4 linked regions of the Rattus norvegicus genome follow. The protein of the gene in region 2 interacts with the protein of the main gene of each other region in a pairwise test. Links are inferred from orthologs where the notes say so. Each region holds a gene or a part of one and is shown on either strand. Other genes may lie near its edges.

Evidence for each region.
Region 1: the proteins of Nufip2 (region 2) and Efemp2 interact in binary tests that used the Homo sapiens proteins (3 or more experiments, as listed by UniProt). The two-hybrid records come from large-scale screens. The link is inferred for Rattus norvegicus from reciprocal best matches to the Homo sapiens genes NUFIP2 and EFEMP2.
Region 3: the proteins of Nufip2 (region 2) and Fbln5 interact in binary tests that used the Homo sapiens proteins (3 or more experiments, as listed by UniProt). The link is inferred for Rattus norvegicus from reciprocal best matches to the Homo sapiens genes NUFIP2 and FBLN5.
Region 4: the proteins of Nufip2 (region 2) and Grn interact in binary tests that used the Homo sapiens proteins (3 or more experiments, as listed by UniProt). The link is inferred for Rattus norvegicus from reciprocal best matches to the Homo sapiens genes NUFIP2 and GRN.

Annotation. Positions count from the first base shown.
Region 1 is NC_086019.1:212,214,538-212,221,132, reverse strand, and holds the end of Efemp2 (EGF-containing fibulin-like extracellular matrix protein 2 isoform 1 precursor), read right to left. Parts: intron 6,560-6,595; coding exon 6,437-6,559; intron 6,197-6,436; coding exon 6,080-6,196; intron 5,969-6,079; coding exon 5,849-5,968; intron 4,403-5,848; coding exon of another isoform or gene 4,386-4,402; intron 4,175-4,385; coding exon 4,055-4,174; intron 3,971-4,054; coding exon 3,844-3,970; intron 3,657-3,843; coding exon 3,461-3,656; intron 2,693-3,460; coding exon 2,531-2,692; 3' UTR 2,394-2,530; downstream 1-2,393. Other genes in the region: crossover junction endonuclease MUS81, read left to right, coding at 23-118, 284-412, 489-592, 1,002-1,085, 1,164-1,230. UniProt on the Homo sapiens protein: Plays a crucial role in elastic fiber formation in tissue, and in the formation of ultrastructural connections between elastic laminae and smooth muscle cells in the aorta, therefore participates in terminal differentiation and maturation of smooth muscle cell (SMC) and in the mechanical properties and wall integrity maintenance of the aorta.
Region 2 is NC_086028.1:63,073,892-63,081,727, reverse strand, and holds part of Nufip2 (nuclear FMR1 interacting protein 2), read right to left. Parts: intron 2,995-7,836; coding exon 1,282-2,994; intron 1-1,281. UniProt on the Homo sapiens protein: Binds RNA.
Region 3 is NC_086024.1:126,737,842-126,746,425, forward strand, and holds the start of Fbln5 (fibulin-5 precursor), read right to left. Parts: upstream 4,866-8,584; 5' UTR 4,641-4,865; coding exon 4,624-4,640; exon of another isoform or gene 4,176-4,623; coding exon of another isoform or gene 4,120-4,175; intron 263-4,119; coding exon 208-262; intron 1-207. UniProt on the Homo sapiens protein: Essential for elastic fiber formation, is involved in the assembly of continuous elastin (ELN) polymer and promotes the interaction of microfibrils and ELN. Stabilizes and organizes elastic fibers in the skin, lung and vasculature.
Region 4 is NC_086028.1:87,884,192-87,892,762, reverse strand, and holds the start of Grn (progranulin isoform a precursor), read right to left. Parts: upstream 4,930-8,571; 5' UTR 4,913-4,929; coding exon 4,881-4,912; exon of another isoform or gene 4,729-4,880; intron 2,547-4,728; coding exon 2,402-2,546; intron 2,290-2,401; coding exon 2,164-2,289; intron 2,042-2,163; coding exon 1,957-2,041; intron 1,602-1,956; coding exon 1,492-1,601; intron 1,395-1,491; coding exon 1,259-1,394; intron 1,161-1,258; coding exon 1,051-1,160; intron 873-1,050; coding exon 749-872; intron 578-748; coding exon 480-577; intron 388-479; coding exon 142-387; intron 1-141. UniProt on the Homo sapiens protein: Secreted protein that acts as a key regulator of lysosomal function and as a growth factor involved in inflammation, wound healing and cell proliferation. Regulates protein trafficking to lysosomes, and also the activity of lysosomal enzymes.

The sequences.
Region 1 (6,595 bases), on a different chromosome or scaffold from region 2:
TTCCTTATGTCCTCTTCTCCAGGTCATTGATGGCTTTTTTGTGAAGCGTACCATGGATATTAAGGAGTCAGCTGGCTACCTGGCGCTTTTGACAAAGGGCCTGGAAAGACTGTACCAGGTGAGCAGGTGCCTCTACCCAGTACTGGACCCTTGCCTGGTGTTTACTGCCCAAGCAAGGAAGGGTGGGATCCCAGTTCTTCAGGCTTCCCACTGGGGCCTGGGAAAGGATTAGCTGGGGTTAGTCTTTAGCGCCTACCCTGGCCTCAGTCCCCTCTTCCATCAGGGCCACACCCTACACAGCCGCCCTTGGGGAACCCCAGGGGATGCTGAATCAGAAGCAAAGCCTTCCACAAACCCTCTCTGCTCACTCCTCACCTTCAGTGACTTCAATGCAGAAGCTGTCAAGAACAAGGTACCACCCCTGCCTCGCCTCTGCTCAGGTGACCTAGGCCGAGGTCACCCCTAACACAGTCCTACCCCAACCCCAGGCCCAGTCTGTGCGAGAGGTATTTGCCCGGCAGCTGATGCAGGTGCGTGGACTGAGTGGGGAGAAGGCAGCAGCCCTGGTGGATCGATACAGCACCCCTGCCAGGTACACCCCAGAGAGCTGCTGAGGGTTCCTCTGCCCTTCCTTCCTGCATGGAGTTCAACATAAACAGTGCTCCCGGAGAGTGAGCTTGGCTCTACACGGGAACCTTGGCAGGCTCTGTCCCAGTGTTTCCCAGGGAGGGCAGGCAGGATGGAACAGGAGCTCTAACCTCAGAAACAGGAAATGTGTAGCATTTAAGATTCTTCCACTCTGGGGCTGGGGATTTAGCTCAGTGGTAGAGCGCTTGCCTAGCAAACGCAAGGCCCTGGGTTCGGTCCCCAGCTCCGAAAAAAAGAAAAAAGAAAAAAAAAAAAAAAAAACTCCTCCACTCTGGGCTCAACCCCTCCTGCCTTAGCTCTCATGTCTCGCAATGCTTGCCCAGATAATCAGCCTCTATGTGCCTCACCCCCAGTCTCCTGGCTGCCTATGATGCCTGTGCCACCACCAAGGAGCAGGAGATGCTGCTGAGCACCGTCAAGTGTGGGCGTCTGCAGAGGTATGGGCACTTACAATCTGGAGAGAAGACTGGGTTGCCTGAGGCACCAGGCTGACCTTCTCCTGACTTTTCTTGCAGAAATCTGGGACCTGCTCTGAGCAGGACCCTGTACCAGCTGTATTGCAGCCACAGCCCTTTGACCTGAGCTATACCTGGAAATGCTCCCCAGCACCCATCTTCATCTCTACCAAGGCTAGCCTTTTAACAGGTCCTCTGGGCTTTAATAAAAATCCAAATGTGTGTGGTGTTAAGGAAGCAATGCCAAGGTCCTTATGAAATGTGCAGGAACTGGAAGACTGCGGGAGATCCAATTGTGTGGTAGGTAGTGCCAGCGGTGGAACCCACAGCCTCACACGTGCCAGGCAATTCCTCTTCCACATAGCAACGACCTGCAGCCTTGTACAGTGTCTCCTTACCCACTCCTAAAACCAGCTTGGTCTAGAACTTGCTATATAACCCAGGCTGGCCTAGAACTCCCAATTTCCCTGGCCTACCTGCCAGATCCTAGAATTAAAGGTGTGGCCATTATACCATGGTTCTTTTCAAGGCCAGCTCCTAGGCTAAACATGGCTGTGCACAGCTATAATAAGAACTTAACTTACACCAAGCCAGAGACCCTAAGGAAGGATGGATGGATGGATGGATGGATGGATGGATGGATGGACGGACGGACGGACGGACGGACGGTAGATAAACACTCCTTAAGAGTTAGGAATGGGGCTGGAGAGATGGCTCAGCGGTTAAGAGCACCCGACTGCTCTTCCAGAGGTCATGAGTTCAATTCCCAGCAACCACATGGTGGCTCACAACCATCTGTAAAGAGAACTGATGCCCCCTTCTGGTGTATCTGGAGACAGCTACAGTGTACTTATATATAATAAATAAAATAAATCTTAAAAAAAAAAAAAAAAGAGTTAGGAATGCCCTGGTCAGGGAGATGGAGTCAATAGGGTACTGTATTTTTGAGTGTAATTAGACGGCCCTGGTCAAATAGTTTGAGAACAGTGTTCTCCATCCATTTGCCTCATCTTAGTGATTGGACAATAGGGCTTGTCCAATTGCACAGCTTGGGTAGGGCTAAGACAGTCACCCCAAACTCCTAGCACTGACCTGAACATGGTTTCTGGGTCCAGTATCAGCCAAGCTCTTGAATAGGGCCTGAAGTATACACTCTGGAGAACGCCCAGCTCAGGCTGATTCTGGCATCTCCTCAGCCTGAATGTAGAGAGGATTCCTGTGTGGAATTTGCCTGCCTCTCACAAGCCAGCCCCTTCCCAGGCTGAGGTTATTCACCCACCTCAGCCAGGACTCCTTCTTTCTCCCTTTATTGTCCTTCACATCATAGTCCCTTTAAACAGAACAGTCATCCTTCAGCCCCCAGGGCTTCTTAAGCTATGGGAGGGGGGAAGGGGCCCCCCAACATGACCCTTCCCTGAGGGTCTTCTTCAGAAGGTATAGGCTCCCACAAAGACGGTGAGTCTCAGTACAGAGCTGGCCCGGTAACTCATAAGGGAGTTCATGGTGACCATCTCGAGGTCCAGGACGTACTCCCGGGGTCCTGTCACCGGTCTGGCAAGGACCAGCATGGCGCTGACATTGTTGATTTGCTGCAGGGCACAGTGGATGGCAGAACATAGAGATGGTGTTAGCCTATGAGCCAGGACCCTACTCCAGGATCACCCCTCCCTCCTGTCCTGAGGTCAGGAAAGTCTGATAAGACCACTGCAGATCCTTCCCCAGCTCTGACGTCAGTATGAGTCCCTGCCACTGGCTCTCCTCATCAGCTCCATCCTGACCCTATCCACCCTGCGTTTCCCTCCATCATGACTACCTGATGGCTCGAGTTTCAGGGATGATGGGCCTTTGGTGACCAAGAGTGTCCCATTTCCCCTCCAAAGTATTCAGTTCTGTCATCACTCTAGTGCTGGGGAAGAACTGAGGGCCTACTGAGTGGAGCTGCCATGGAGCTGTGATGTCAGCCCCAAAGAGGTTTTGAAGCCAAACACCTCAGTGCTGAAGGCAGCATAAGGACCCACGTCCAAGATGCCCCACACCTCCGCCAGCCTCCCTAACTTCCCCTTGCCAGCACACTGGAGTCCCTGACCCCAGCCCTGCAGGAACTGTTCTTGTTTAATGGATAAGGAAATCAAAGCCAGGCAGGAGAGAGCAGTACTGGGACTCACCCCCTAACCAACTACTCCTTAGAACTGCCTGTAGCATGTTCACTAGGAATATGGACCATCTCTGACTTCTGCCGTGACCCCTGCTTCCTAGGACAGGGCTCTGAGAGAGGAGGCAGGGCAGCTCCCACTTAAGTGATTTGAGGCATTCTATTTTAGATAAGTCAGTTGGGTCTGAATAGAGAAGCACCTTACCCTAATGTAGAAGTCCCCCTGTGTGTTCCCAGCACGGATCTGAAAGGCATTGTAGGCGCCAGGGTAGACAGAGGTTGCCTGGATCTGAAACACGTCGGCAGGCACACTTCGCTCTGAGGTGATGCTCATGTAGCGGTGCACGATGGATGACGGTTGCTCTCGACAAAGGGGGTTGGAGGCAGGACAGAGGCAGCGGCTAGAGACCCCAACACGAAACAGCAGTGAGGGCTAGGCCCATTCCCCAATACCTACTTCCTAAAGAGGAAAACCCGACTCATTCCCATGAGATGTCATGGGTACTCACCAGCCTGACTAAACCAGTTAGCCCCACAGACCTCTGGAAATTGTAGTTACCACAGCAAACTGCCACCAGGTTGACTCACTTGTCCGACACTTGGACATAGGGCTCCACACAACGGTTGGTGTCCACACAGCGGTAACCCCCATGGAAGTTGACGCAGGTTTGGGCCTCCGAACACTGGTGTGCACCTGTTTCGCACTCGTCAATGTCTGTGCCAAGGGAGGTGGAATTGGACTCTAGGACTGACAGTAAGCTGCCAGCCTCTCAACTCCTGCCCACCCAAGCACCTGTACCTTGGCAGAGCCTTGTGGCCAGCAGTTGGTAGCCTTGTGGGCAGTGACAGGAGAAGCGACCTGGCTCATTGACACAGCGGTACTGGCAGAGGTAACTGGAGTAGCTGCACTCATCGATATCTGAGGGAGGGTGGGGATGAGGACCCTGGGCCGAGGGTAGTCCTCACAACCAAGTCCCACAGACCTTTACCGAGAGAGCCCAGCCCCCCCATAAGGCTGGATGTGGGAAGAGAGAGGGAGTGAAGTAAACCCATAATGCTCAAAAGGGGGACTGAAGGTTTCAGAGGAAGGTTAGAGGGCTGGGGATATAGCTCGGTGGTAGAGTACTTGCCTAACACGCTTGAAGCTCTAGGTTCCATCCCAGCAAGGAAAGGGAGAGGAAAAAGAAAAGACAAAGAATAGAAAGGTTTGAAGCTTGGCATGGTGCTATAGTCTACAATCCCAGCATTTGCGAGGTAGAGGCAGGAGGATTATACCAAGTTCAAGGTCAGCCTGATCCACATGGGGAGCCCCACCAGGATTATATTAAGATCAAAACCAGCCAGGACTACATAACAAGATGGATCGTGCCTTGAAAAGCAAACAATGGGGTGTCTGATCACAACATCTGGGAGGCAGAGGCGGAAGCAAGCAGGTCAGTGTGAGGCAGCCTGGTCTACATAAGAGACTCCAGGCCAGCCAGGGCTACACAATGAGACCCTGTCTCAAAACAACAGCAGACCTTCAAGCATATAGAGCACCTCTCTCCCAGGACTTTAAGAATACGGAACAAAGCACTAGCCTAACATGGTGGCCTGTGCCTCTGATTCTAGCACGACTCAGCAGATCTCTGTAGGCTAGCCTGATCTATACAGAGAGCTTTACAACAGCCACGGTAATATAGGCTCTGTCTTAAAAAGCAACACCAGTCTAGAGGCTTGGGGGTACCACATTGAGCCACGTTGGTCCACGTTGAGCCAGTTAAATGAGTAGGTTAGACTAGAGGTGTCCTGAGGGGCTAACCTGCTCTATTCTTTTCTGTAAGTCTTGCGATTTGCAGTCAGAATGCCCAGATTGGCTGAGCGTGTGACCCACATGCAGCATCCTATCTGTCTGCTCTTGCTCCTTTCACACCGCTAAACACCAATGATGCTGTGCCTCACAGAGCACACAACAATGAGGGTGTGCCGGGTGACATGCTGAGATGCCTGGGGTAAGCCCAAGCCCCGCCTCATCCTTCCCATCTGAACTTGGACAGGTCACTTCATCTCTGTAAGGGGAAAGATGAAAGTCACCACTGTCTCTCAACGTTCTGCTTACTTTCTACAGTTCCACCAACACACCTTTAATGTTCTGTTTACAAAAGTAAATCATCACTGACCAGATAAAACGAGACTGAAAATTTAAGTTATAAACGCATGGCACCTACTTTTTCTGCCTGAGACTTGATGAAGCCTGTCAGTCACTGTCCCTAACTCTCCAAATAGCCCATCTGCCTTAGAAATGTGCCCAGGAAGAAGAGACTTTCCTAGTGCAGGATTCCAATGCAAGTCAACTCAACTTTCAGGAAGACGGGCACCTCCATCCCTCTCTGTCTCTCCAGCAAGCTTCAGAAGCACCTATCGTACCAACCCCCCAAGCTGGGAGTGCCAAACAACCAGCTCAAGATGGAGTTCATGAAGGCCTGCGGGTGCAGAGAGCGAGACATCGAAGCCTCAAACAAATGACTGTGTGACTGGAGTTGGTCCAATACGTTGCAAGTGCGGGGGGGGGGGGGTACCAATGCAGTATCCAGTAGCACAAGTGGACTCTCACCACTGCAGGAGAAGCCATCCCGGTGTAGCTCATAGCCCTGGTTACAGCGACACAGGAAGGTCCCATAGGAGTTGAAGCAGCGCTGCTCACACGGGGCTCCCATGTCACACTCGTTCACATCTGAGGGTGCAAGGACAAACACCCACTCGACTTGGGCTCAGGAAGGAGATCCTGCCCCTACCTCACCCATCTCTACCCAGGATCCCAGAACCTGGTCTGGCACAGCCTCACCCACACAAGAGCGGTTGTTAGGTCCCAACTGGAAGCCGGGCTCACACTGGCATCGGAAAGAGCCTGGCAGGTTCACGCATCGGTGCTGGCAGTAGCGGTAGCGACACTCATCTATGTCTGAGATGGGAGGCAGGAGACGGAAAGTAGAACACAAGCTAGGTGGGGCCTGAGCCAGCTCACCTCAGCACCCACGTTCACCCCTGCCTTTGTCGGGGAGCTGAGTTGAGTCGCCCACATGTCTAGTGGGTCTGGTGACAGGAGTGCACCAGCAGCAGAGGGCTGGGGTGACGTAAGGTATTAGATCAAGAAGCAGACCAAGGTCACAGAGCAGGAACTTAGGAAAGCCACCGAACTCACCTACACATTCGGGCCCAATTTTTCGGTAACCATCGGGGCAGGTGCACTGATAGGAGCCAGGAAGGTTATGGCAGTCCTGGCTAGGGCGACAGTCATGTATAGCCTGGGTACACTCATCCACATCTGTGGGAGACACCATTCAGCCTTTGCCTGGAGTCC
Region 2 (7,836 bases):
AGGTATCCTACAACTTTCTCTGTAGACCATACTGTCCTCAACTCAGAAATCCTGCCTCTGCCTCCCAAGTGCTGATAGATTGCACCACCATTGCATGGTATGTCAGGAAAGTTCTTAATTCCCTGCCTGGCACGTATTTAAGAGCAAGGCTCAAGGGTTGGGGATTTAGCTCAGCGGTAGAGTGCTTGCCTAGCAAGCACAAGGCCCTGGGTTCGGTCCCCAGCTCCGGAAAAAAAAAAAAAAAGAAAGAAAGAAAGAAAGAAGGAAAGAGCAAGGCTCAAGCCTTAGTAGTTAAGGAACAAAACTTGGAGGAACACTACTGCCCAATTCATTATAAGCAATTAAAACCATGAAATGCTTTGCTAATAGAGTATACACTTTAAGAAACAAGAGAGGGTGGCCAAAGTTGGTGGCATACACAGGCAATCCCAGCAGCACCTGTAGAGGATCAGAATTTCAAGCCCATTTGGCTTATAAAACCTTGGACTCTATCACTTAAAAAAAAAAAAAAAAAGTGGGGTTGGGGATTTAGCTCAGTGGTAGAGCGCTTGCCTAGGAAGCGCAAGGCCCTGGGTTCGGTCCCCAGCTCCGAAGAAGAAAAAAAAAAAAAAAGAAAGAACCAAAGAATTCAGATATACTAGTTTGGGGCTGGGGATTTAGCTCAGTGGTAGAGCGCTTACCTAGGAAGCGCAAGGCCCTGGGTTCGGTCCCCAGCTCCGAAAAAAAGAACCAAAAAAAAAAAAAAAGCAAAGCTGTGGGGCTTGAGAGAATGGCTCAGTGATTAAGAGCACTGACTGCTCCTCCAGAGGTCCTGAGTTCAATTCCCAGCAACCACATGGTGGCTCACAACCATCTGTAATGGGATCCGGTGCCCTCTTTCTGGTGTGTCTGAAGACAGCGACAGTGTACTCATATAAAAAATTAAAAAAAAAAAAACAAAAAACCTGTGAGACCCTATATAAAATAATATTAATATTATCTTTAAAGCAACATGAAGCCCCTCTAATTATGTGACCAATTATGCTTTTCTTGATCATTTTATGTTGGAAAATTACATTCCTCTAAACTTTAATATGATTTCCAAAAATCTCAAATTAACTGATGATACTAATTCTTACCCAGGTATTCCCAATATAGAGTATCAAATATACGCACACACCCACGCACACACCCACGCACACACCCACACACACCCCCACACCCACCCCCACACACAGGATAGAGAGGGGAGGGACTTATCAGCCCATTGGAATCTTTGAAAAAGAAACAAATAAGAGTTACCTTTAGTGTGATATACAATAGCAGCCCTCAGGTCAAAAGAACCCCAGCTATCATTCCTTTCTAGGCCTCTCTGGTATCTCTGTTCTTTGGCGGAGCCTAACAAAGTGTTCGTAGGAGAGGCCAGAGGATTTTGATTTTCTATTTCGTAGTCCTTTGAGAGAAACACTAAAGCACCTTGACTACTGGTGTCTGCTTTTTGCAGGTCACCTATATGACTGGGTTCCAAGGATAAGGCTCCACTCTCAGTAGTCCCAGGTTTTAGAATGTTACCCAGAACTTGAGGACTAGTCCGTTTTTCCAGCTCATAAGCCTTGGGAAACACAGGATGCTCAGTTCCTGAGGGAATTATTTCAGCACCCTGTGAAACCAAAGTGGCAGGATATTCTCCTTGAAATGTCACTTCCATCACTTTATGATCTGATGACTTTCCAATAACAGTCTCTGGGCCAGCACTGGGTTCATTTATAAACGATAAACCCCACTGATTCTGGAATATATCTCCCAGGTTTTGCTGATCTGTCTGAGAGGGCAGATCTACTTGTGCACTTAACAGCACTGTTTGCATATTTGAAGGGTAGATAAAAAGGCTAGACTTAATTTGTTCAACAGCTGCTGAACTCAGACTCATGTCCTGAAGAACTGAATCAGTCCCAGTAGAGATGGGTGTTAAAGTATTAGCAGCAGTAGTTAGCAGTGGCTGACCCGCAGATGGATACATACTTCCATCAGTTCCTGCTAAAACAGGCCCATTAGAAAAACTGGCAGAAGTAACAGATTTCAGAGCTGACATGGGGACCTGGGATAACCGACTTGAGGATTGGGTCTGAGTTTCCCCAGTAGATGATGATGATGAAGATGAAGTTGGTGACACAGAGGAGTTCTGTACAGTTTTGTTGAGGTTTTCCTTAACTTTGCTTGCATAACTTATTTTAGGAACTATTTTTGCACTGCTATTGTCCACTGGAAAAACTGGGGGTGGTTTAAACAAGGTCCACGAGTCCTCTTTGGAGGCAGCAGCTGAGGCATGCTTTCCTTTGGGCCGATCATCAAACTTTTTGCTACTCAGACCAGGTTTAATATCTGAACTTTTACGAATTATGTCACCCATAGCAGGTTTTCCACGACTTGTTCCTCCAGGTCCAGTTTCGTATTTCCAAATAGGCTTCGAACCATCTACTCGAGTTCCCTTTTGTTCACTGTAGTCAGGCTTTAAAGTTTCAAGTCCCTGTTTTAATGCTGGGACACTAGTCTCTTGCATTATTTTGTCTTGCACTAAATTAAGGTTTTCACAACCCTTGGCACTATTGCGCCTAGCTTTCCTTTTCTTAGGAGTGGTATATCCACTCTCAGATCCACTCCCATCATTATCTGCTCCTTTGCTCATATAACCATTAGTAATATAGCCTGAATTATTTGTTATAACACCATTTGGAATTGCTATAGTGTCGGTCTTATCTACAGCCTGGGTCTCTCCAGATTTATTTTCATAAGACTTCCCATTCTTTTTGTCCATACTGTTTTTCTGAATAAAATTCTTGGTTTTAATTCCTGCTTTTCCAAAGGTGCTGGTCTTTACAGTCTGCTTCAGGCTCGTGTCTACAACTTGCTGGTTGCCATTGAGGACCCTGGAAATAGGGTTGGTAGCTTCATCAGAACTGAGGTTCTTTAAAGATATTTCTCTTTCTCCAGCATTACCATTTATTTCACCATAGCCTATAGAAGGAAAACAAAAACAAACAAAACACATACATTTAAATCACAGCAATACTGAACAACTTTATTGAACCCCAAATACCAAGTAAGCTGTATGTAGGGTTTGTATCTCGTCTCTTGTCAGCCCATTTTACAAATTTTATGACACAGAGTTCATTGCCAGTCAGAAGCAGACCTAGGACACAACTCACATGAGGTCCATCTACTGGGCCAGTAGCCAAAATCAACTAGAAAGATCAGGACCTTTCAAGCAGCAAGCCATAATATTACTCCAAACTATCTAAACAGAACAAACCTTATGTATTACAGCAATGAGGTTGTTATAACAAGTGAAGCAAGATGATTGTTGCATGTTTGAAGCCACCCTGGGTGGGTGGGACAAGGATAGAACCTTGTCCCAAACACATACTATTTAAACAAACCAGTGCTACTTCAGATACAATTGTAAAAGGAAAATAAAAATAAGACTTTGGCTTTTGCCTCCCTTGCATGACCACTGAATTCAATCCCTACCCAGTACTACTTACTGCCCCTCCCTCCCTTCTCCCAAAGAGGAAATTGAGGGCTGTGAGTGAGTAGTTGCCAATGTCTATCAGACAAAGCCATAAGGCCTGTGGACTTCCAAATATAACTCCACATAAGAGTATACCATAACATATGAAACAAAAATATGTAAAACATTTTTAACTCTTTTATTAAGACTCATTCTCTTACTTTCCCTTACTTTTGGTGTCTATTTGAATTAAAGGACCAGGAGAGAAAAAGTTAACATCCAAGTCAGAGTAGCAGAACTAGAAATCTGTCTACAACCCAGATTTCTACCCCCTTGCAACACTTTCACGCTCACAAAACTACTATGAAATGCAACTAAAATTCCAAAGCAGGCAAGTTTTTGAATATAGACTTCACTCCATACAGCTAAGGTTTTGTCTGTTTTTTGAAATCAAGTTTTTCTGTGTAGTCCTGACTGTTCTGGAAATCACTGTCACTGAGCTCAGAGATCCACCTGCCTCTGCCTCCCAATGCTGGGAATAAAGGCATGAGCAACCACTGCCCAATTTACAGTTAATTCTTACTAGAAGTGATTTACTGGGTCAATCACAACTTCCTGCTCACTAATAAAATGGGGACTAGCTATCAATTGTTTTAAGATCTTTGGGAAATCCTCAATCAAACAACAAATACATTTTCTTCTGTATGAACTTCCAGAAAATAAGAAAATGTAGTTGAACAAATAGCAAACTACAGACAATACTTTTGCTTTCTGACACGGGATTTCTATGTAGCCCTAGCCATCCTAGAACTCACTCTGAGATTTGCCTGCCTCTGCCTCCCAATACTGGGAGTAAAGGTGTACACAGCCACTGTCCTGCATTAGAAATACACAATGGCATGTATCAAGTTCAAGGTTCAACCCTTACTTAGGAAAAATAAATTCCTTATTTCCAGCATTGTATTACCATTTTTCATTTTCTAAAAACTATGATAGCCAATCAATCAAACTTCCTGTGTTGCTTTGAGCTGAGCTCAAGATCTTATCATACTAGGAAGGTCTTCTACCAATAAGCTCTATCTCCAGGTCACAAATAAAAAAAAAATTTCATGGAGCTGAGGTGGTGGGACATGCTTTCGATCCTAGCACTGAAGAAAATCTGAGTTTGAAGCCAGCCAGGGCAAAGACCCTGTCTCAAGTGTTATTTTTTTTTTCCTCAGAGAGAGGCTAACTATAAGACAAAAACAGTATATGTAGTTCTGTATTCTATAATGTTTTCTTTAAAAAAAAATGCAGAATGTTAAGCCAGGTCTAGTGATACGTACCCCTGCAATTTTGTCTCAAACAAAAAAAAAAAAAAAAAAAAAAAAAAAAATTAGGGGGGTAGAGACTCTAACTAATAGATTTGCCTGAACCAAAGGCAGCCAAGAGAACTACTTTACCATTTAATAAGTTAAGCAATTGGGGTTGGGGATTTAGCTCAGTGGTAGAGTGCTTGCCTAGGAAGCACAAGGCCCTGGATTCGGTCCCCAGCTCCGAAAAGAAGAACCAAAAAAAAAAAAAAAAAAAAGTTAAGCAATATCTGTATCTTCTGATTCATTAATCATAATTTTATATATTTAAACTAAAGGTGGGCAATGTTACATGCAATGATAAAAACTGAAGTCCAAAAAAGTTGAACCACAACACAAAATTTTAAGTAAACTGCAACAATTCTACCTAAGTTTGCTTACTAGTAACTTAAATACCAGAAATAAATCATGGGGGAAAAAAGCTCAGGTAGCAAATGGTGGCCCACATTAATTCCAGCTTCCTAGGAGAATGAGGCACCAGAATTACAAATTAAAATGTAGCTCAGTGGTATATAGCTCCTACCTGCTATACACCAAGGGTCCTAGGTTCAATTCTAAGTTTACAAAATGCAACCTACTAGGCAGCTTTTAAAAGTGTTAATGACAAAAATAAATAAATCTCACTTCTGAATAAATACATAGTTGTCTCCCTGTGGCCTTGGTATGCAGAAAGTCTAAAAAGCATCTTTTAAAGCTTAGATATTTAAGAAAAATGTGAAGATAGTAGTTATAACAGAAAGCAAAGAATTCCTGTGTCTTTACTATTTGGGGCTGCCATGATAACTCCACTTCAAATGGACTCAGTAAAACTTGAGTCCCAATAAATCTAGCTTTTGGATTTGACATTGCAATTACTCAACATGTTTGGCCTCCTATGCCCTTACTTCTGAATACAGAAAACCAGTTTCACTTAAGTTTGGGAGTAATGGTTCATAAAAACCCATTACGTTATGTACCTAACATTTTCTAGATTTCTTAGCACTGTATAAAATGACCAAACTACACATGGAAAAGCCACTCAGCCCAACTGATAATATTCTTCATCCCAATTTAAGACATTTTGAGGACAGCCACCTTCAATGAATGGTTCAAGGTCTGCATCTCTATGGAGTAAGGAATCCGATGGGGAATACACAAACCTTGTAAAAGATAAATTCTAAATCTTTGAACAGTTCCATTTGGCAACCTTGACACTTTCTCACCTTCTGAAAAACCAAAACCAATGCAGTTACATAATTCCTAAGTCTCTAAGCTGCTGTAAATCCTTACAATTAAACATTTCTGCTCCATCATCAGTCCCTACCACCTTATAAAAGAAAATCTGATATCCATCCAGGTGTCTTCAAATAACTTACGGTCTACACTAAGTTTTTCACCAGTAACTACTTGTATTATATGATAGGCTAAGTTTAACATTTTTCTAAGCATTCCCTTTTCAGTTTAAAAAAAAAAAGCACTTTAATGTGCTTATATATAAACTTTGATGCTTATTTTTTAAATATTTCAAGACTCCACGTTTAATATGTTAAATAACATTCAGTTTGGGGATAGAAGTCGGTTTTAAAATGCACCAAAAACACCTCTCACTTTAACCAAAAAGGTCTTGTCCAAGGTAAGGGATTAGTGACAACCGCATGGACAAGTCACTTCCTTTCCAGTTCATCGTTAAAGAAACAGGGAACCCAAAACTGCCCGTGTTGTCCATCCAATCGAACATCTGATTAATCCCTCCTACAGTCACTAACCCAGCTCACAAGTTTAGTAGGTGTTGAGTGGAAAAACCAATGGAGTAAGGTTTGAGAGGTTGCCGGGCCCCCCACCCTCCTTGGGTAGGAAATGCGCTGCTATAAAGAAAAAGGCCTAAGTGAAAAAGCCTCTGAGGCGGAGTCGTGAGCGAACCTGGCAGGAGATGAGATTCCTGTGGCAGAGAAACTCGTGACCCGGGAGCTTGGTTCCCGCTGTGTACCCCACCAGGCCTCAGGCACCGCCTCTACCCAAAATGAATCCCCTCGCCCCTCGCAGGCCGGCGGAACGCTGGGGCCGCCGCCCGGGCCTCCTTCCCCCTCTAGCTCCTCTTCGAGGCCCGCTCCCTCCCGGCCGCCCGCGCCTCCCGCCGCACCCGGGAGCGGGAAACGCGGCCGTCGGCGCGCGAGTCCACGGTGCAGGCCGCTCCCCTCGTGGCCGCTTCCCTCCCCCACCCCAACCGCCCCCGCCCCTCACCCCAGGGACCCGCCCGGGGCCGCGCGGCCGCCACCGGGTTACACAACCCGGCGCGGGGCGGGGGGAGGGGCGGCGGGCGGCGGCCGCCCGCAGTGCGGGGGACCTGAAGAGGGCTGCACAGGGTCCCGGGGCAGCGGTGCCAGCGTCCCGTGTGGCCTTCCGCACCCTTCCCCCTCCGCTCCTCAGCCGGCCAGAGTCGGTGACAGGAATCGGCTTCCAACATGGCGGACAGGAAGCGGCCCCGCGAGGAGAAGAGAACATTCCAGCCTCGCCGGCTCCGAGGCGAGCGGGCCAGGGGCGCCGGCCTCTGGAGGTGCCTCGCGGATAGACAGCGGGGTCCGGAGCCCAAGATGGGCATTTAGGGATAGAAAAGACCCGAGGGACGATGGGGTCCCAGCCTACCCCCCCCAGGACAGCAAACCCCAAGGCCACAGGTGGGCTTGGGGTGGCGGGTGAGGGAGGACGCTTCCTCAACTCAGCCCTCAGCCCCGCTCCTCGCCGCCTGCAAGCGGGTCTCGCGACACCACCCGAACCGGAATTCACTAGGCCTGGATTACAGACACCTCAAGGGATTTTTTTTTTTTTTTAGGACAGATGAGTTTCACCCCTTCTTAGGGCCCCCACATTCAGGCAACTCCAGGGCCGCACTAGAGGGAAAAATAAGGCTGGACTTCCAAGGCCGACCGTACAGGTCTGCCTCCGGCCGGGGCGGGGGCCGAGGAAGGTCACGCTGGCCTGACTGGGCCTCTCCCATGCTAAAGGGAAGGAGAGGGCGCT
Region 3 (8,584 bases), on a different chromosome or scaffold from region 2:
TCCCAGAGGGACAACCCTGCCACTTGGAACCTTTATCACCCTGGACCAACCTCCGTCTCTTAGTGCCTTAGCTGTGATCCATATGTATGGAGGGTAGTAAGTGAAGTGCAGAGTGCCCCCCATTCCTTTAACCCTGGGACCCTAAAATGCAAGGCTGGAACCCTCCCCCAGCTTTGTGACATGCTTCTGGACAACTCGAAGCCTTACCTGTGCATTCCCAGGATGTGGAAGCCACAGTGCCAGGATGGTGACAGTGAGTATCCTGTGGGCAGTGAACAAATGGAGAGTGAATGCCGAGGGATGCTCATGTCCAGGAAACCTGGACCTCCTGCTACTCAGGCATTTGGTTGGTAGTTTTACCATGGACTTGCAAGTGAGTAGGGAACTCTCAGCAGAGCCCTCTGCTCTACCATAAGAGCCGGCCTCTTAACACTTGCTTCATGTGATGGGATAGTGAGTTAGGTCACATGGTTGAAAACAAAGCTTTGCTGCTTTGGAACAAAAATCCAAAGACCCACAGTTGGGTCATCAACCAACTGTCCTGACCTTCTACCATTCTGCATAGAGACCGCCTGAGTTAAACATTATTCAGACATGACTGCAGAGCCAAGAGCCTCTGTGCCTTTAAACCATGAAAGCTAGAATGTGGGAGGCTTTGTGTTTGCAGGAGGTCACTTAACCAGAACTTGGAACCCTCCATCCACATGTGAAAACCGGGACTTGAATGGTCCAAGAACCCAGGGTCCACCCTAGCGTGTGCCTTGTGAGAACTGCCATCCCAGGGGGTGGAAGGCGGAGGAACCAGTGTAAGAAAGGCAGTGGGTAGCAGTAGGAAATGCCGTGACACCCTGGCTCAGCCAACATGGCCACCCACAAGCAAGTAAACATCTTTGCCTGTGGGTAATTTGGTTCTTTGCTGCGGCCAATGTTTTGTCTGGAAACTGTGGTCACCAGTATGCTTTAAAACAGCAAAGTCTATGCCACTCATACCCATTAAGATGGTTATTTGTGTAACATGTACAGACCTGTGTGTGTTGACATGTGTTGCTGCACATGTGTAAGTGCATATGTACATGTCTGTGTATTCCTATGGGGACCAGAGGTTGGCATCCAGAATCTTCCTCAATCATTCTTCACCTTATACATTGAAGTCTCTTACTTGTACCCAGAGCAAGCAAACACTCATACATGTAAAATAATTTTTTAATCTAAAAGAAAATGCAAGACGGAAAACAGCAAGTATAGGAAGAATGTAGAGAGATCACAGCTCTTGTGCATTACTGATGGGGAGGTCAATGGTACGGCTGTGTGGCATCCATCCTCACCTGTGATCCAGCAGACCCACTCCAGAGTGTATTCCCCAGAGAACTGAGTCAAAGACCAGACAGACGTATGTACACACATGCTCACAGCAGCATTTTGTATAATAACCAAAAGTGGATACAATTGAAATGTCCATGCAAGAATAGCTAAACAAAAACAAAATGTGTTCTCTCTCTCTCTCTCTCTCTCTCTCTCTCTCTCTCTCTCTCTCTCTCTGCGTGTGTGTGTGTGTGTATCTCTTCTGTGTCTGTCTTTCTGTGTGTCTGTCTATGTCTCTCTCTCTCTCTCTCTCTCTCTCTCACACACACACACACACACACACACACACACACACACACACACACACCCCAACAATGTTATTCAGACTTAAACTTGAAAGTTGGACACCATACAATATGGAAAGCCAGGCACATTGCTATGTGCTTGTAGTCCTAGCTGCTCCAAAAGATTAAAGTGCAAAGGTTGCTGAAAGCCAGGAGTTCAAAGCCAGCCTGGGCAATATAGTGAGATCCTATCTAAATGAATAAATAAAATTGAAGCAGTGCAAAAGGGAAGCTAAGAAGGTTCCGCAGGCGAGGGAGCTTGACCTCAAAACGACAACCTGATCACCAGGACTCACGGAATGGAAAGAGAACCAACTTTTGAAAGTTGTCCTCTGACCACCACACGTGCACAGCAACACATGCTTCCCCTCAAGTAAATAAATAAATGTAATTAAAACAAAACAAAACAAAAAACAGGAGCAGCAACACTGATGATCCATGAGGACGTCATAGTGAGAAGAGTGACGGTCACAAACACATAGAATTCAACTTACATCAGGTACCCCAGAACTTTCAGACTCAGAAAGAAAAATGGTGGCTCCAGGTTGTGAGCTTCTGGGGCAGGGAGGGGGTGTTTAATAGGTAAAGGATTTCTTTAAGTTGTTTTCTTTTGTGGCTTGGGGCTTGTGCCTTTTTTTTTTTTTTTTTTTGAAACAAGCTCTCACTCTGTAGCCCAGGCTAACCTACAACCATCAATATGGTCCAGTATCCTCAAACTTGGGGCAATTGTACCTCGGCTCCCTGGGTATTGGGATTACAAGACACTTCTGCTGGCCTCTTTTTTGTTTTTCGTTTTGTTTTGTTTTTTTAAGACAGGGCCTCATGCAGCCCAGGCTAGCCTCAAACTGGTTATGCAGCCAAATCTGGCTCAGAACTCCTGATTGTCTCCTGCCTTTACCTCCCAAATGCTGGGGTTACAGGTGTGCACCACACAACACAGAGTATGGTACAAGAGCTATTTTGCAGGTTAAAGAGTCATGCATGGAACCTGGGCATATAGCCAAGGGAGCCTATGGAACACTATCAACATGGGCACTTAATGCAGGAAAGATAGAGACAATGTGAAGTCTCTGCAGACGGTCAAGTCTGTTAGCACACTGTTCATCTTGCAACTACAGCTTACAACACAGATACTGGGCAGGAGAGCCACAGAGCTGTGGTCCAGCTGCCATTCACCTGAGCTCGCTGCTTTGTGCCATGGGCCAGGAGTACAGTTTTGCTTTGATAAGAATGTCAAGAGTCAGCAGAGGAAGCTTCCTGGAGGGTGGTGATCTTGCATGTTTCTCAGCACGGCTGTGAACCGGAGGCTTACTATTTACCCACCCAGCGCCATGGCTCTACAGCCCCCACCTTTGCAGAACGAGTGCTCAGTAGACCCCAAGCTCACTGACATCCCAACCCGCAGCGAGCGGAGAAATAGCAGTAGGTACGTAGAAGACGCGGAGTGAAGGCAGCACCTAGGCACCCAGACAAAACTGAGTCCGATGTGGTCCTGGAAGACGCAAACCCACTTCCCTCACGGAGTCCCAGATCCAATCCTGGGTAGACAGGTTTTCATTTCATTTAACCGCCTGTGTGAGTGAGCCAGGTTCTCCAACGTTGGAGACAGCTCTGACCTTATAAAGTACAGAGCCAAATCCCTGGGCTTTTCGGATATTTGTGAGAGCCAGACTTTATATCTGGAAGGAATAAGAGAACAATAACAAATTCATTTTCCAGGCTGTAGATTATGAATTTCAATGTTTTCCTGTTTCTTCTCATGAAGTTTCCTTTCAGGTGGTTATAAAATCCTGTCTCGTTTATGTTGGAGACAGAGCAGCTTGACTGCATGCAGTACAGCTCAAGAGAGACTGGAAAAGGCGTGCTAACCCTACCGGCTTCTCCCCTACCCCACTCTCTGTTCCTTTTGGTGAAAGCCAGCCCAGGGCTGGCCAGCCCCAAGCCCAGCCTCCTGGAAGAGCGGGGGCCAAATAATCTCCAGGCTAATAGAGAGGCTTTGCAGAAAAAAAATCGTACCAAAAATGAAGCAAAATTAATACTGGAGAGGAGAAACTCTGTCTCAAACTTTTCTTTTGAATCTGGGTTCACCATCCAAAAGAAGAAGAGGAGGGAGAGGAGGAGGAGGAGGAGGAGGAGGGGGAAGAGGAGGAGGGGGAAGAGGAGGAGGAGGAGGAAGAGGACAGAGCCTCCAAGTGCCTGTCAATGACAGACATTGCTGGTCGGCGATTCGGGATGATAATGTTAACTATGTCTTACCATAATATGGCTCAGTTCGTATGCGTGTTAGCATGCATGCACCCCTCCCACATGCAAGCACACACAGAGAAAGTGTGTAGGTCTGTGCAGGGCAGCTCTATTTTCAAGAGGCACTGGAGAAGGGGAGGACAGATGTCATCTTTAAACTTCCTCAAGGCTCAAGGATTACTTGACTGGAATTGCAATTTCCGCAAAGAACAGCAAAACATTTGCTTACATGCGTCTCTGTCTGCAGTGTCCACTGTTCGTTGGCTCGAAACTTCTAGGTCCCATTCCCTCTGTAAATCGCACACATAGAGCAAACGCAGACAGGAGTGTTCGGAGACTCCTTCTGCTTGTCCCACAGCCGTCGCAGCAAAGCAGTTGCTGGTGCCGTAGTCAACAGTCTCCCAAATTTAAAAAATATGTAGTGTGATATTTTAATAACTGCGCACAGCGTTGCTGCCCTTTCCAAAAAGAAAGAGAAATGATCCAAAGAGGCTGTCTGCTGCCTCTCTCGAGATGCTGACTCCTGATGCTGTTAGAAAAATCCCCACTCCCAAACCAAGACTTCGAGATGAGCGCAGCTTTTTGTAATTAACAGGGTCATTGCATCACTTGCTAAAAGTCTTTTCCAGTGCCCTGACACAGGCGGAATCTCAGCCATAGCCATTTTCCACCCATCAGGTCTGGAGTTAGGTTTCTCAAGCCTGGAGACAGTTCCTGGCGCCTTCCAACCTACCTTTTTAATCCTGGCATATCCAAGATGCGCGGGAGGAGAGGTGATTTGAGGAAGGCAGGCTCTGCGCGGGACCGGGCAGCTTGGTTTCCGAGGGGCCGAACGGGGCTGCGCGGAGGGCCGGGGACAGTGCCGGGTGCTGGGAGCCACTGCAGAGCCCTCGCCGCCGGCACCTGGTTTCGCTTAACCCCCTTCAGTAATTCAGCATTAAGCCAATTGGAGGAGGAATGTTAAAAATGAACACTTCATTTTCTAAGTATGTTAAACAATGCAAATGGGGCCTCGGTCTGGACACAGCTGGTTCAGATTACAGCGCTCACCAACTGGCTAGACTCCTCACAACAATCTTGGGGCGTCTGCCAGGGCCAAGTGCTCGGTGCTGGGAGGGGAGCCCAGCAGAGGGAGAGCGGGGCTGAGGGGCGCCGGGCCTCCCCGGGGCGGAGCGGGGCGCGTGCGAGGGGGCGTGTCATCAGGCCCTGTGGCAGCAGGAACTTGAACTCACCACCAAAGCGGCTTCAGGGATGTGAGCAGTTGGGAACCCGAGGCTTAAAGCCAGGGTTGGAACAAGCGCGATACCTAAGCAAGGATGTGGGGTAAGGGAGGATCCGGGAAGAACAGGGAGATTGAAGGAGAGCAAGCGATGGCTGAGATCTCTGGCTGCCTTCACCTCGTCCTCCTTGGCTTTTAGTTGCTGTGTGTAGAAAGGCGGTTTGTAAAAAGTTAAAGGCGAGAAAGCCTAAGAATGGTGGGTTACACAAGGACTCTGGAAGTCCTCCCTCCCCTTTGTTTTCTAGCTCTGGAACCCCCTATCGAGTGCAAAAATGCCAAAGACACTGCTCTCCAAAAGACAGGACGGGGCTACTACACTGCAAGCCCTCCCTTGCCTGAACCTTCTCTTGGACCCTCAACTGCCTGACCTACAGTTTAGAGAGCACAGGGGAAGAGTTTCCCTCCCTTACCATGCCTCTGTGCACTAGAAACTAGCTCCACTTCCTTGGAGGTGAGAATAAAAGGGGTTGAGTGACTTCCCCACTGGCTCACGTCTCTCAGAGATGCCGTCAAGCCTCTGAAGTCTGCATCTTTATGTACTCTTTTCTAACGACACTGTTTTGAGGAAATGGACTCCTACTCTAAAATCTCATTAGACTGGACAAGAGCAGCCAGCCAGACGTTGATGCTGTTGAAGCTCGGAATCCAATTGACCCGATCTATTTCCTATGGGTGTATGAAATGTCTAAGACTAAACTATATTTAGGTTCATCTCATTCAGGAGATGGTACATCCCTCCCGTTGTTCTAATAAGTAGGATTATAAGAATCTTTAAGGTTCACCAGTACTGCCCTAAGGGGGCGAAATAAAGAGATTCAGGTGGAGAAATGAATGAGAGTAACCATTCAAAATAGCTAGACACCTAAGTGTGCACACGGGCCAGCTCTGTCTACGTAAGGTTCAAAGGCAGGACTGGCGGGAGCTGAGTTCTGACCAAGGTGCTTCGACAAGGCACACAGACTCGGACTCCATGATGTTGTGCTGTAATACGTTTCGAAATGCCAGAGGCTCCTAATACACTGATTTTGAAGGCTTTCCAATATAGTTTATAGTTCTGACAGTAGAATTGTGATAGTCACATAGACCACTTTACTCACAAGGTGGCTCAAAACTGCTGGTAACTTCAGTTCCAGGGAATCTGATTCCCTCTTTTTTTTTTCTTTTTATTGGATATTTTTAATTTACATTTCAAATGTTAGCCCCTATCCCATGCCCCCTCCCCCTGCTTTTATGAGGGTGTTCCCCCACCTACCCCTTCCCACCTCCCCACCCTAATATTCCCTTACACTGAGGTATTGAGCCTTGGCAGGACCAAGGGCTTCTCCTCCCATTGGTGCCCAACAAGGCCATCCTCTGCTACATATGCAGCCAGAGCCGTGGTTCTGTACATGTGTACTCTTTGGGATAGTGGTTTAGTCCCTGGGATCTCAGGTTGATTGATATTGTCATTCTTATAGGGTTGCAAACCCCTTCAGCTCCTTCAGTCCTTTCTCTAAGTCCTCCATTGGGGACCCCATTCTCAGTTCAATGGTTGGCTGCAAGAGTCCGCATCTGTAATTGTCATGCTCTGGCAGAACCTCTCCACCATGTTCATAGCAGCCTTATTTATAATAGCCAGAATCTGGAAAGAACCCAGATGTCCCTCAACAGAGGAATGGATACAGAAAATGTGGTACATTTACACAATGGAGTACTACTCAGCTATCAAAAATAATGACTTCATGAAATTCATAAGCAAATGGATGGAACTAGAAAATATCCTGAGTGAGATAACCCAATCTCACACACACACACACACACACACACACACACACACACACACAAAACACCATGGTATGCACTCACTGATAAGTGGATATTAGCCCAAAAGTTCAGAATACCCAAGATACAATCCACATACCACATGAAGCTGAAAAAGGACAGCCAAAATGTGGATGCTTCATTCCTTCTTAGAAGGGGGAACAAAAATATTCATAGAAGGAGATACAGAAACAAACTTTGGATCAGAGACTGAAGGAATGGCCATTCAGAGCCTGTCCCACCTGGGGATCCAGCCCATTTACATACAGCCACCAAATCCAGACACTATTGCTGATGCCAAGAAGTGCATGCTGACAGGAGCCTGATATAGCTGTGTCCTGAGAGGCTCTCCTGATTCCCTACTCTGACCTCCAGGGGCACTGTGTATATAAATTATGCACAGACATACGTGCAGGCAAAACATCCTTATCTATAAAAGAAAAACTTTAAAAGTAAAAGGAAATAAATGTCTAGAGCTTTGTGAAAGTACAATCATGGAAAGAAAAAGTCAATGAGATCAAAACCTTAAGACGTAGGTTGTGGAGCTTTGTGAGAGGCATGCCATTAATGTTGTTAATCTCCCTCCCCCACCATCCCCTGCACAGTTTATAGGTTAACAGCGTCATGGGTTTATAAGAACAGGAAAAGCTTGGTGCATAAGGCTCGGTACTGACTTTGGTGCCTCCACTTTATCCCCAGTGTGTAAGTGATTGCTTGAACATGCTAGGTCGGTAAGAGTTCTACCACTGAGCTACATCCCCAGTCGGCAACCTGAGTTCTTTCAGCTGATCATTGTATAGCATCTGACCCAGAGGCGCCCATGTCTGTCTTCTCCTCAGCCTGCCTCTGCCACCTGCTTCCTTCCTAGCAAGGCTGCTCCATTACGGACAAGTGTACCACACAGCTGCCCGACAGCTCTCCCCCACCCGCTCTCTTTTACTATCCGGGGTTTTCCACATGTCCTTATTACATTTTCATCTGTTATTCAAACTCCTTCTTTACAAATTCTGTTATCAAAAAAAGCTCTAAGTGTGGTCCCCAGGCGTGAACCCTGTATCTGCTTGAAGTGACTCATTCTCCATGATCAGCTCCCCATGAAGCTTCAGGAGGGTGCGATCTGGAGTGGAGTGGAGTGCTTTTGTCCCTGGCCCCTTCTCTTTTTAGTGCTGCTGCTGATTGCAGGACCCTGAATACCGCCACCTTCTTACCTCAGCTTCCCTGTGTCCCAGACTCCCCTGCAGTCCCTCACAGGCCACTCCTTCTACCTCACAAGCTTTGCACTTCCGAAACCCTGCCATCTGGTTTACAGCCTGTGAGAGATTCTGTCGAACATCTGATAACATCAAAACACATTAGCTCCAGCATTTCCTGGTCACCAAAGTCTATTTTTAAAAATAAAAAGAGGATGTGGGTGTAGTGGCTCACACCCAAAATCCCAGAAATTAGAAGGCTGAGCAGAAGGCTCAGAGAGTTGGAGCCTTGCCTGGGCTACACCTCGAGTTCCAGGCCATCGTGGGCTCCAGAAGGAAAGCTTGTTCTCCTTTCAAATATCAGAGGGAGACAGACAGACAGACAGACAGACAGACAGACAGACAGACAGGGAAATGAGGTCCTT
Region 4 (8,571 bases), about 25 Mb from region 2:
GCTGGGGACAAATCACAGCACTGGGTGCCACCCCGGACTACGCAGAGTGCAGAAGAATAAGGCTACAAGACTCTTGTCACCTACCTACCCAGGCCAAGATGCTATCCCCACCCCTCTGGGCTGTTTCGCTTCCCTCGTTACCTCTGGGATGGGACAGCAGCCCCAGTCCCCAGAACTGAGTCTGCAGCAGGTATTGTTAGAAGGACAGCTACTGAAGTCATCACAGGGGACATCATTCTTCAAGATCTGTGGGTCTGGCAGGCTGAGGGAGGCCGTGACCTTTTTCATCCAGGGTACCTGAAGGACTCCCAGTTCACAGGTTCCTGTCTCTGTGTGACACTGAAACCCGGCTGGGCAGCAGTGAATGTGGTCTTCACAACACACAGCCTTAGGTAGACAGAGAGAGGCCCCGATAAGCACTGGAACCAAGCTAGCTGCCCCCTCGGCTCGGACCACTTGTGCCCACTGCTCCCAAGTACCTTGGTGAATGGACAGCAGCCCCAGGCCCCAGTGTTGAGGCGGCAGCAGGTGTAGCCATCAGGACAGCTCACCTCCAAGTCGCACTTCACCTCATTCACTGTGAGGTAGGGAGAGACCAAGTCATCGAAGACAGTGTGACCAGGCGTCGAGAATGGAGCACACAGCTATCCCAGCCACAGTGAACCTCATGCAAGCCATCAAAACCCACCCCATAGCGTTCCGTAACTGAGAACCCTCTTTATTGAGCAGATGAAATGGGGTCCCATACCTGGGTATCCAGGCAGCTTGGTCATGAGATCTGTGGTGTAGTCCTTGGATATGCACTTGCTCTGGATCAGGTCACATACAGTGTCCTGGGGGCAGCAGTGCAGGTGGTCGGAACAGCAGATGGCCTAGGTTGGGACAAGTAGAAGTCTCTGAACTCTGGCGAGCATAGGGAGCAAGCCAAGCTGATAGCATGCACTGCTCCAATCGGCCACTAGGGGGCAGCACGAGCCTTAAGGCTCTCAGATCAACCGAGTGCCTGGAGCCCCCTTGTCCAGATCCAGGGGAATCCAGCCATTCACTCACGTTGGGCATTGGACAACAGCCATACTTCCCAGTGGGTAGCTCACAGCAGGTAGAGTCATCAGGGCACTGGGTCTTAGCATCAGGGCACACCACGGAAAAAGGGAAAGCCACTGAAAGAGCAATGAAGCATGAGGGAGGGGCTGCTAGGATAGAGGGACTTTTCCCCTTCACCCCCAGGTGCTGGCAGGGTGGCTTCGGGCCTCCTCACCTGCCCTGTTGGTCCTTTGTGCGGGGAATTTCTTTAGTAAGGGGTGGGTGCCCGTGGGTGAAATGCATCGCGTGTGAACCAGGTCACAGGAGGCCCCGTGGGGACAGCAATGCACTCTGTCTTCACAGCAAGAGGCCTGAGAAGAAACAAGTGGTCCTAAATCCATCTGTGTCAGCCCCGGACCCCAGCATTACCCTTCTACCCATAGGTGCCACATTTCCCACACCCTATACCTGGGGCATGGGGCAGCACCCCCAGGAACCATCAATCATAATACAGCAGGTGGCGGAGTCAGGACATTCGAACTGGCTACCAGGACACTGGACAGCACCCAAGAGGCTATCTGCAGATCCAAGAATCCAGAATTCCATTAATCCAGTTGGTCAAGTACCAGTACCATCACTGAAGGAACTGCAGGTCCAGCTGCAGGAGGCTTAGCGGTCAGTCCCAGGGCTTAGGTGATCTCCCAGGACCCCACCAGCTAGCTAGCCCCTACTGCTAAGACATCCAGTGAAACTGGGCTGGTGCTCAAATCACTCCGGCACGGCCTCTCTGTGTCCCACAACGCTGGAGTGTCTGTCACCTTCTTCTCTCAGAACTGCCCCTCCCAGGGCCACCCAGGCAGTTGGGCTCCTGGGCACTTCAGGTAACTCCTGATGTCCGTCCCCACGTGCCCCCTCCCCTGTGCCCCACAGCACCTGATATCTGAGAGCAGGATTTCCCATCCACACTACAGTGGAAGCCCCGGGGGCAGCAGTGCTGGCCATCATCACAAGATACACCCTATGGACGAAGAGACACCTGTGTGAGCAAGACCCTTTTGCCTGGGACTAGAAGAGTGAAGGAAAGGGGTAAATGCAGATCTTAATCAATCTCCTGTTCCCCTAAGCCAATGGCGGCCTCACCTCAGAGAACGGGCAGCAGCTGGAAGTCCCAGACACAGTGAGAAGACAAGAGTAGCCATCAGGACAGTGGTCACGGATCTGGCAGGAGCCATCTAGACGACGGCTCGTTATTATAGGCCATGTGTCCTGGAAAGAAGAGATGACATCAATCAAAGGATCTGTGCCAGTCCTCTGGCCAATCTGAGGTAGACAGTCCTTCAGAAAGCCCAGGCTGCCAACTGGGGCATGAGACACTCACCAGAAGAGGGTTACAGCAGCTGTAGTTGGCTCCTCCCTGGTCAAGGCAGCAGGCAACAGGGCAGAATTGACCATCTGGGCACTGTGTTCCAGCCACCAGCCTTGCCACTAAGGCCAGCCAGCTCACCAGGATCCACATGGTCTGCCTGCAAATGCCAAGCAAAGTCTGGCAGCCATCTTGAAGCCTGTGCCACCTTCTACTCCAAGGCTGTGCATTCCCCTGTGCTCAGGCCAAGGCCTTGGGTTTATTGAGCATTCTCAACGGGAAAGCAGGCAGATGTGTCGCTCGAGTCAGCGCCCTACCCGTGCACGGCACTCGTGTGTCAGCTTGCACTCACTGTGAGCATGAATGTTGGCAGGAACACCAGTGTCGATTCATATGGCCTAACGCCTGAGAGTCTGAGTGCGTGGAGAGGAGGGGAGGGGGTTATGACAGTCGGGAAGGCATGTGGCTTTTGTGGCTTTGATTTATGGAACTGAGGACTAATTGGGAGGCAGAAGAGACTTTAGCAGCCATAAGAGGAAGCCAGCCCCACACCATCCCGCCCGCCTAACTCCACCCCGGCCTGGTACCAAACTGTCTGCCACCTGTAGCTTTCAAAGGCCTTGGGGGACAGAGTCATCAGTCACATGATCATATGGGAAACCTAGCGGTGGAGAAAGTTGTAAAAACAGAAGTACTGTGGCCAGTGGGGTCTGGGCTGGCTTCCCTATGGGCCAGCCACTGCCTACCCACAACTGTCCCCACCCCACTCAAGGGAAGGGGACACAGAGGCTAGGTCAGCCTCAAAGCTAACTTCATGATGAGGCCTTCCGGACATCACCAGGGTCCTTTTGGACTCCTCAAACAGACTGCCTCTGTCTCTCCCTGATCAGAAATCGAAACTCAGCTGCAAGTGGGAAGAACCAGTGGACCTCTTCACTGACTCTCTGCCTCAGCAGGAGGAACTGAACCTCTCACTTCCCTATAAGCCTTTTCCCAGCTCAGATGGTCTACCCAGCAACCCAGAAAGATGTTATTCTGCCTAGAGCAGCAAACCCAGTAATATTCAAAGACCCTCCAGGGAGCCATTTTCCCCTCTCACTGTATTTCTCAGCAATCTATGAAAAGCAATAATTAAAATATTACTTTCACTTTTCAAATCCATGCCTAAGGATCAAGCCAGGGGGGAAAAGACAGGGTATTAGACTGGGTTCATATGCCAACCGTTGTCTCTGGTCATTGCCAGGGAAGGACCCTGATTCCCAGAGGCCAGAGGTGCAGAGGGATGGGGCAGAAGATTTCTTGGCAGGTGACCCAAGCAGGATAGAAGCAGGGTGGGTACAGGGACTTCGTTGAAGCTGCAGTTGGGTTTTAGTCCTGGAAGTAACACTCTAATCTATGACTGAGGGCCTCAGAAATTGTTCCTTCCCTGTGTCTCAAGTCTTCAATCTCTGCCTGGACACTGGTGGCTACAAAAGGCAGGAAATGCCACCCACGCATGGCAGGCATGCTTTTGATCCCAGCATTTGAGAGGCTGAGGTAGGAGGGTTGCAAGTGCCAGGCCAACTTGGGCTACAAGGTGAATCCGAGGGCAGCCTGGGCTACAAGGTGAATCCCAGGCCAGCCTAGGCTACATAGAAGGATCTGTCGTCTCCCCCAACCCCCTCTCTTTCCTTTTTTAGGTCCTTCCAAGTGCTCTTTAACCTAACCCCCACCCACATAAAAAAAAAAATCCCAGAGGCCATTTCCTAACCAGGAAGGGGTAAGGGAGACCCAATTCCTCTCAATAGGACTGGGGAGTGGTGAGCCCCTGACCACCTCTACATTACACAGCCAGGGAGAACCGGAGCCTTTCAAAGCCCTAGCTCCGGCATCTTCCACTAGGTGGCACCCCCCATCTCCGAGTGTCAAGGGGAGATGAATTTCCGAAAAGGTGAGCCAATCCTAATGAGAAGGAGCAGGGAAAAGTGGCGGGGAGAGGCAGGCGGAAGTTAGCTCTCTCGCCCCCAAGAAAGGAAATACAACTGACACAACCCAGGGATTCAGCCATCAGGCCCGGGTCCTGCCCCCAACCCTTCTGAGCTCTGGGGACCAAGGGCGGGAGACTCCCCACCCACTGCACGCCGCCGCGGAGACCACTTGCAGCATCAGAAAGAGAAAGAGCCGGGACCTGGAGACAGGTGGCAGGTACAGACAGAGGAGCTGGCCCAAGAGTGGGGTGGTTCCTGCCCTGGAGAAAGGCCTGCAGCTTTCCAACATGCTGGGCAAGAGGAGCCTCTTACTGGGGGTATCTACGACAACCGCTCGTCCCCCCCCCCAAAAAAAAAAAGAAAAGAAAAAAAAACCTCGTTAGTGCATCAGAAACCCCTAGAGGAGTTTCAAGAGGCAGGTCTTCTCTTGTCTCTGAGCTGAGACTCCAGAGGACCCTCAATTGCACAGCAGCCTGGTCAGGCCTCTGGACAGTAGCGGGGGAGATATCTGCAAAGGATCCTCCTACCTGCGTCGGGGTCCGCGCTCCCTGGGAGGCATCTGGCGGTCAGCTCCAGGACTAGGGCTTGGCCGCGCGATGGCCCGCCCACCTCAATTTCCATTAGCCATGGCTCAGAGATCCAGGGCTTTCATTGGTTACTTGTCTACGTAGAGGCGGGACTCTCCAGGAATGCTGTGTTTCTTTTTCTACTCATTTCACATTCCTCCTCCCTTTCCTCTGTCTCCCCACACCCCATTTCTAGGGATCATGTGATTAGAGAATCATATGACAGCATAGCCCGCCTCCCCCAGGGCAGCTCTAGCTTGTTTGGTTGCATTTAACCCCGGGTTCTGGCGGCGCCCGGCAGGGTGTTGTGAGACCAGACACCGCTTGCCTAAGGCCACCAACAGTTAAGAGAGCTGCCCTGAGGGCACACGTTCAAGGTCGTTTACTGGAGAGTGTCTGCTTCTGGATCGCGACTTTTGTACATTCTCTGCCTTTTCACGCCTGGCAGCCAGGACTCGAAAGAAGTTGAAAGATGGTTGTGAGGGTGAGGATAAATAGTCCCCTGGTTTGAACGGGGAGAGTGGCTTAGACTAAATCTAATAAAAGTTCAAAAGCGAGCACCAGTCACTATAGATGTGTGCAGAGAGAAGACAGGAGATTAGCTCAAGGTTAGGGAAGAAGAGATTAAAATCCTGCTTGATAGTGCAGCATTAAGTTGAATCTGAAAGAACTTTAAGAGGTTGATTCGAGGGGTTGGGGATTTAGCTCAGTTGTAGAGCACTTGCCTAGCAAGTGCAAGGCCCTGGGTTCGGTCCCCAGCTCCGAAAAAAAGAGGTTGATTCGGCGGGACCGAGGAACTTGAAACTAGATAGGAAAGACAGCCTCTAGTAAGGATTGAAAGCCACGTTCAAGATAAGGGCCTTTGGACTCGCACTAAGTGTGGGGCGTGGGCTTGTGGAGCAGGCTGGTGACTGTGGAGATCAAGGGGTTTCCTTGTTTCAGCTGTCCCCACCTTCGAGGAATTGTTATGGTGGGAGAATAGAGAAATTTTAAGCTGTAGAACAGATTAGCCAGAAACAAGAGCCAGGCTGCTGAGTGCCAAAGGGCCTGGCCAGACAGAGACGGTGATTGGAGAAGGGCCAAGAAGACAGACTCTAAGAAAGGCCAAGGCTGGGCCTTGGAGAAAAGACTGTGTTTGCTTTCAAGGTGGAAGCTAGGTTACCCCACTCCTACCCCTAGAAGCAGAAACCTTTACTGGGAGGCCAGTCAGGATCACGGGGTCAGCCACACAATTCAGGACAGTGGGAGTTCTGCACCGAGAGGAGTGCGGGCTTGTGGAATTCCATGAGGGCTTCTTACACTGGAGCTCCAGGAGTCTCGGAAAGTGTGTAAGACTGGAGCAGAGAATCTAACATAATTCGGTACCCTGACGATGTTAGCGTAGGTGTTCCATGACATTCGTATAGGTATCCCCAAAACAGACCACGGCTTAGGCTTCTAGTGAGACACAGCCATGATGTGGAGGTTGAGGAAGGGAGGTTGCTTAACCCCAGGAGTTGGAAACCAACCTCAGCGACATTGCAGCTCTCCCTCTGAGTCAGGGTTTCCTGTGTTCCGGACTTCAACTTGATAAGTGGCTGAGAATGACCCAGAACTTCTTGTTTTCTGCTCCCACCACGCAAGCGCCACAATTGCAAGGGCAGATAGCCATGTTTAGTTTATGCCGTGCTGGGATTAGACCCAGGGCCTTGTTCACACTGAGCAAGTGCTACCCACTGAGCTACATCCCAGACAGGGCACTTCCTCAAGAGAAAAATAAAAAAGAATGGGGGAGGGGCAGGAAGCTCAGCAGGTAGTCACTTATCAACCAACGTGATCTCTTTGACTGACATGGTTTTAAAAGGAGAGAGACAGACAGACAGAAATGGCTCCCAGAAGCCATCCTCTGTCTTCTGCACATAGCTTTAGTGCACTCACAGACTTACATACACGATCACTTGAAACGACTGAAAAGATAGAGCAAATTCTGGGGTTACAGCTCAGTGGTGCTGCTCTCATCCAGAAGAGAGGTTCTGGTTTCCGTCTGACGGAGGGAGGGAGCAAGCGGGAGTAGGCTCACCTATAGCAGAGAACATTTGGACCGTCTCTGCCCACCTTGTTTTGTTTTTTCAAGAAATCTCTGTGTAGTTCTGGCTGGCCTGGAACTCACTCTATAGACCAGGTTGGTCTCAAACTCACAGAGACACATCTCCCTCCGCCTCCTGAGTGCTGGGATTTAAAGGGCATGCACCACCACTGCCACCACCACCCAGCATATCTACCTCGTTTTTAAAGGCAAGGTCTCTCATTGTTTTTGCCTCTGCACTGTGGGCTTCATGGTACCTGGCCCTTAAGCCTCCATATGATTTTCTTGACTCTGCCTCCCACCTTGCCATAAGAGATCAGCCTCTTTAAATTTTTTTTTTTTACTTTTTATTTTGAGATGGAAGCTCCCTAAGTTTTCCAGGCTAGCCTTGAACTCACCATGTAGCCCATATAGAACTTGAACTTGGACCCTTTAGCTGAGATTATGGACATGAACTTATATCTTTTGCCTGCTCCCCCAAAACCCCTAACCGAGACAGTCTGTCAGGCCTCAAACGTACTTTGTAACCTACACTAGCCTTGAACTTCCTGACCTTGATCCTGGTGCCTCGGCCTAAGTGCTGGGGTTACAGATTTGAGCCCCTTTATGCAGCCTGCCATCTTCGTAGTTACCATTTCAGGACTTAGTTTTTGTAAGCTTTGTAAAAATTTTTAAGTTTTATGTATATATGTATGTATGCACCATGCATTTATGTGCATCATGTATGTGCAGGAACCTTTGGGGGCCAGAACGTATTGGATCTCTGGAGCTGGAGTTATAGCCCAATGTGAGTACTGCAAACCAAATTCTCTACAAGAGCAATAAGTGCTCCTAACAGCTGAGCTGCCTCTCCAGCCCTAGAACTTACACTAATTTTGTAAGTGCTTGTGGAAAATGGAAAATTATATTCTGGAGATACTAAAAACTATTAATAAATAAATAAAATAGGATAGTATAAACTTTTTGCTAAAAAGCAGAAATATTGGGGTGTTGTGTAGCTATTTCTCTTGAAATGAAACATCACCTCTTAGAGAGAAAAAGAAAGCTCGGGTAAGATTTAAGAAGTGAAAAAAAAATGTAAACAATGTCCAGGAGGAAAACAACTTAAAAGGCCCAGGAAAATCCTGAAAGTTACAAGATTCACAAGGTAACACCCGAGGTTCATGTCACCAGGGAGCTCTAGAGATATAGCTTTCCTGAGGTGTCTCTAACATTGGGGTGGCCTTTTTGGTGATACAACTGTCCTTGAATCATCTACACACCCATAAATAGCACCATTAAACTCAAGTGTTCACTAAGATAGAATTGAGTGTTTCTGGTCTGACATCAGTGTCCTATCAGGAGCGAGCAGATATTTGTTCAAGTCTTAAAAGTCACACAGCATACAAGAACTTTATAACTTGATTCCAGAAAACCCAAGTATGGATCCCAGGAAGCCCACAGTTTCTGCGAAGGTGTCCCTTGTACCACATCAGAATCTGATCCAGGAGCTTCCTAAAAGTCGCAATGAGCAGTCTGACTGCAGCCCTTTGTGTCTGCTAGCTAACCACATCCTCCAGGTGAGCGGCCTCACCATCCAGGACACAA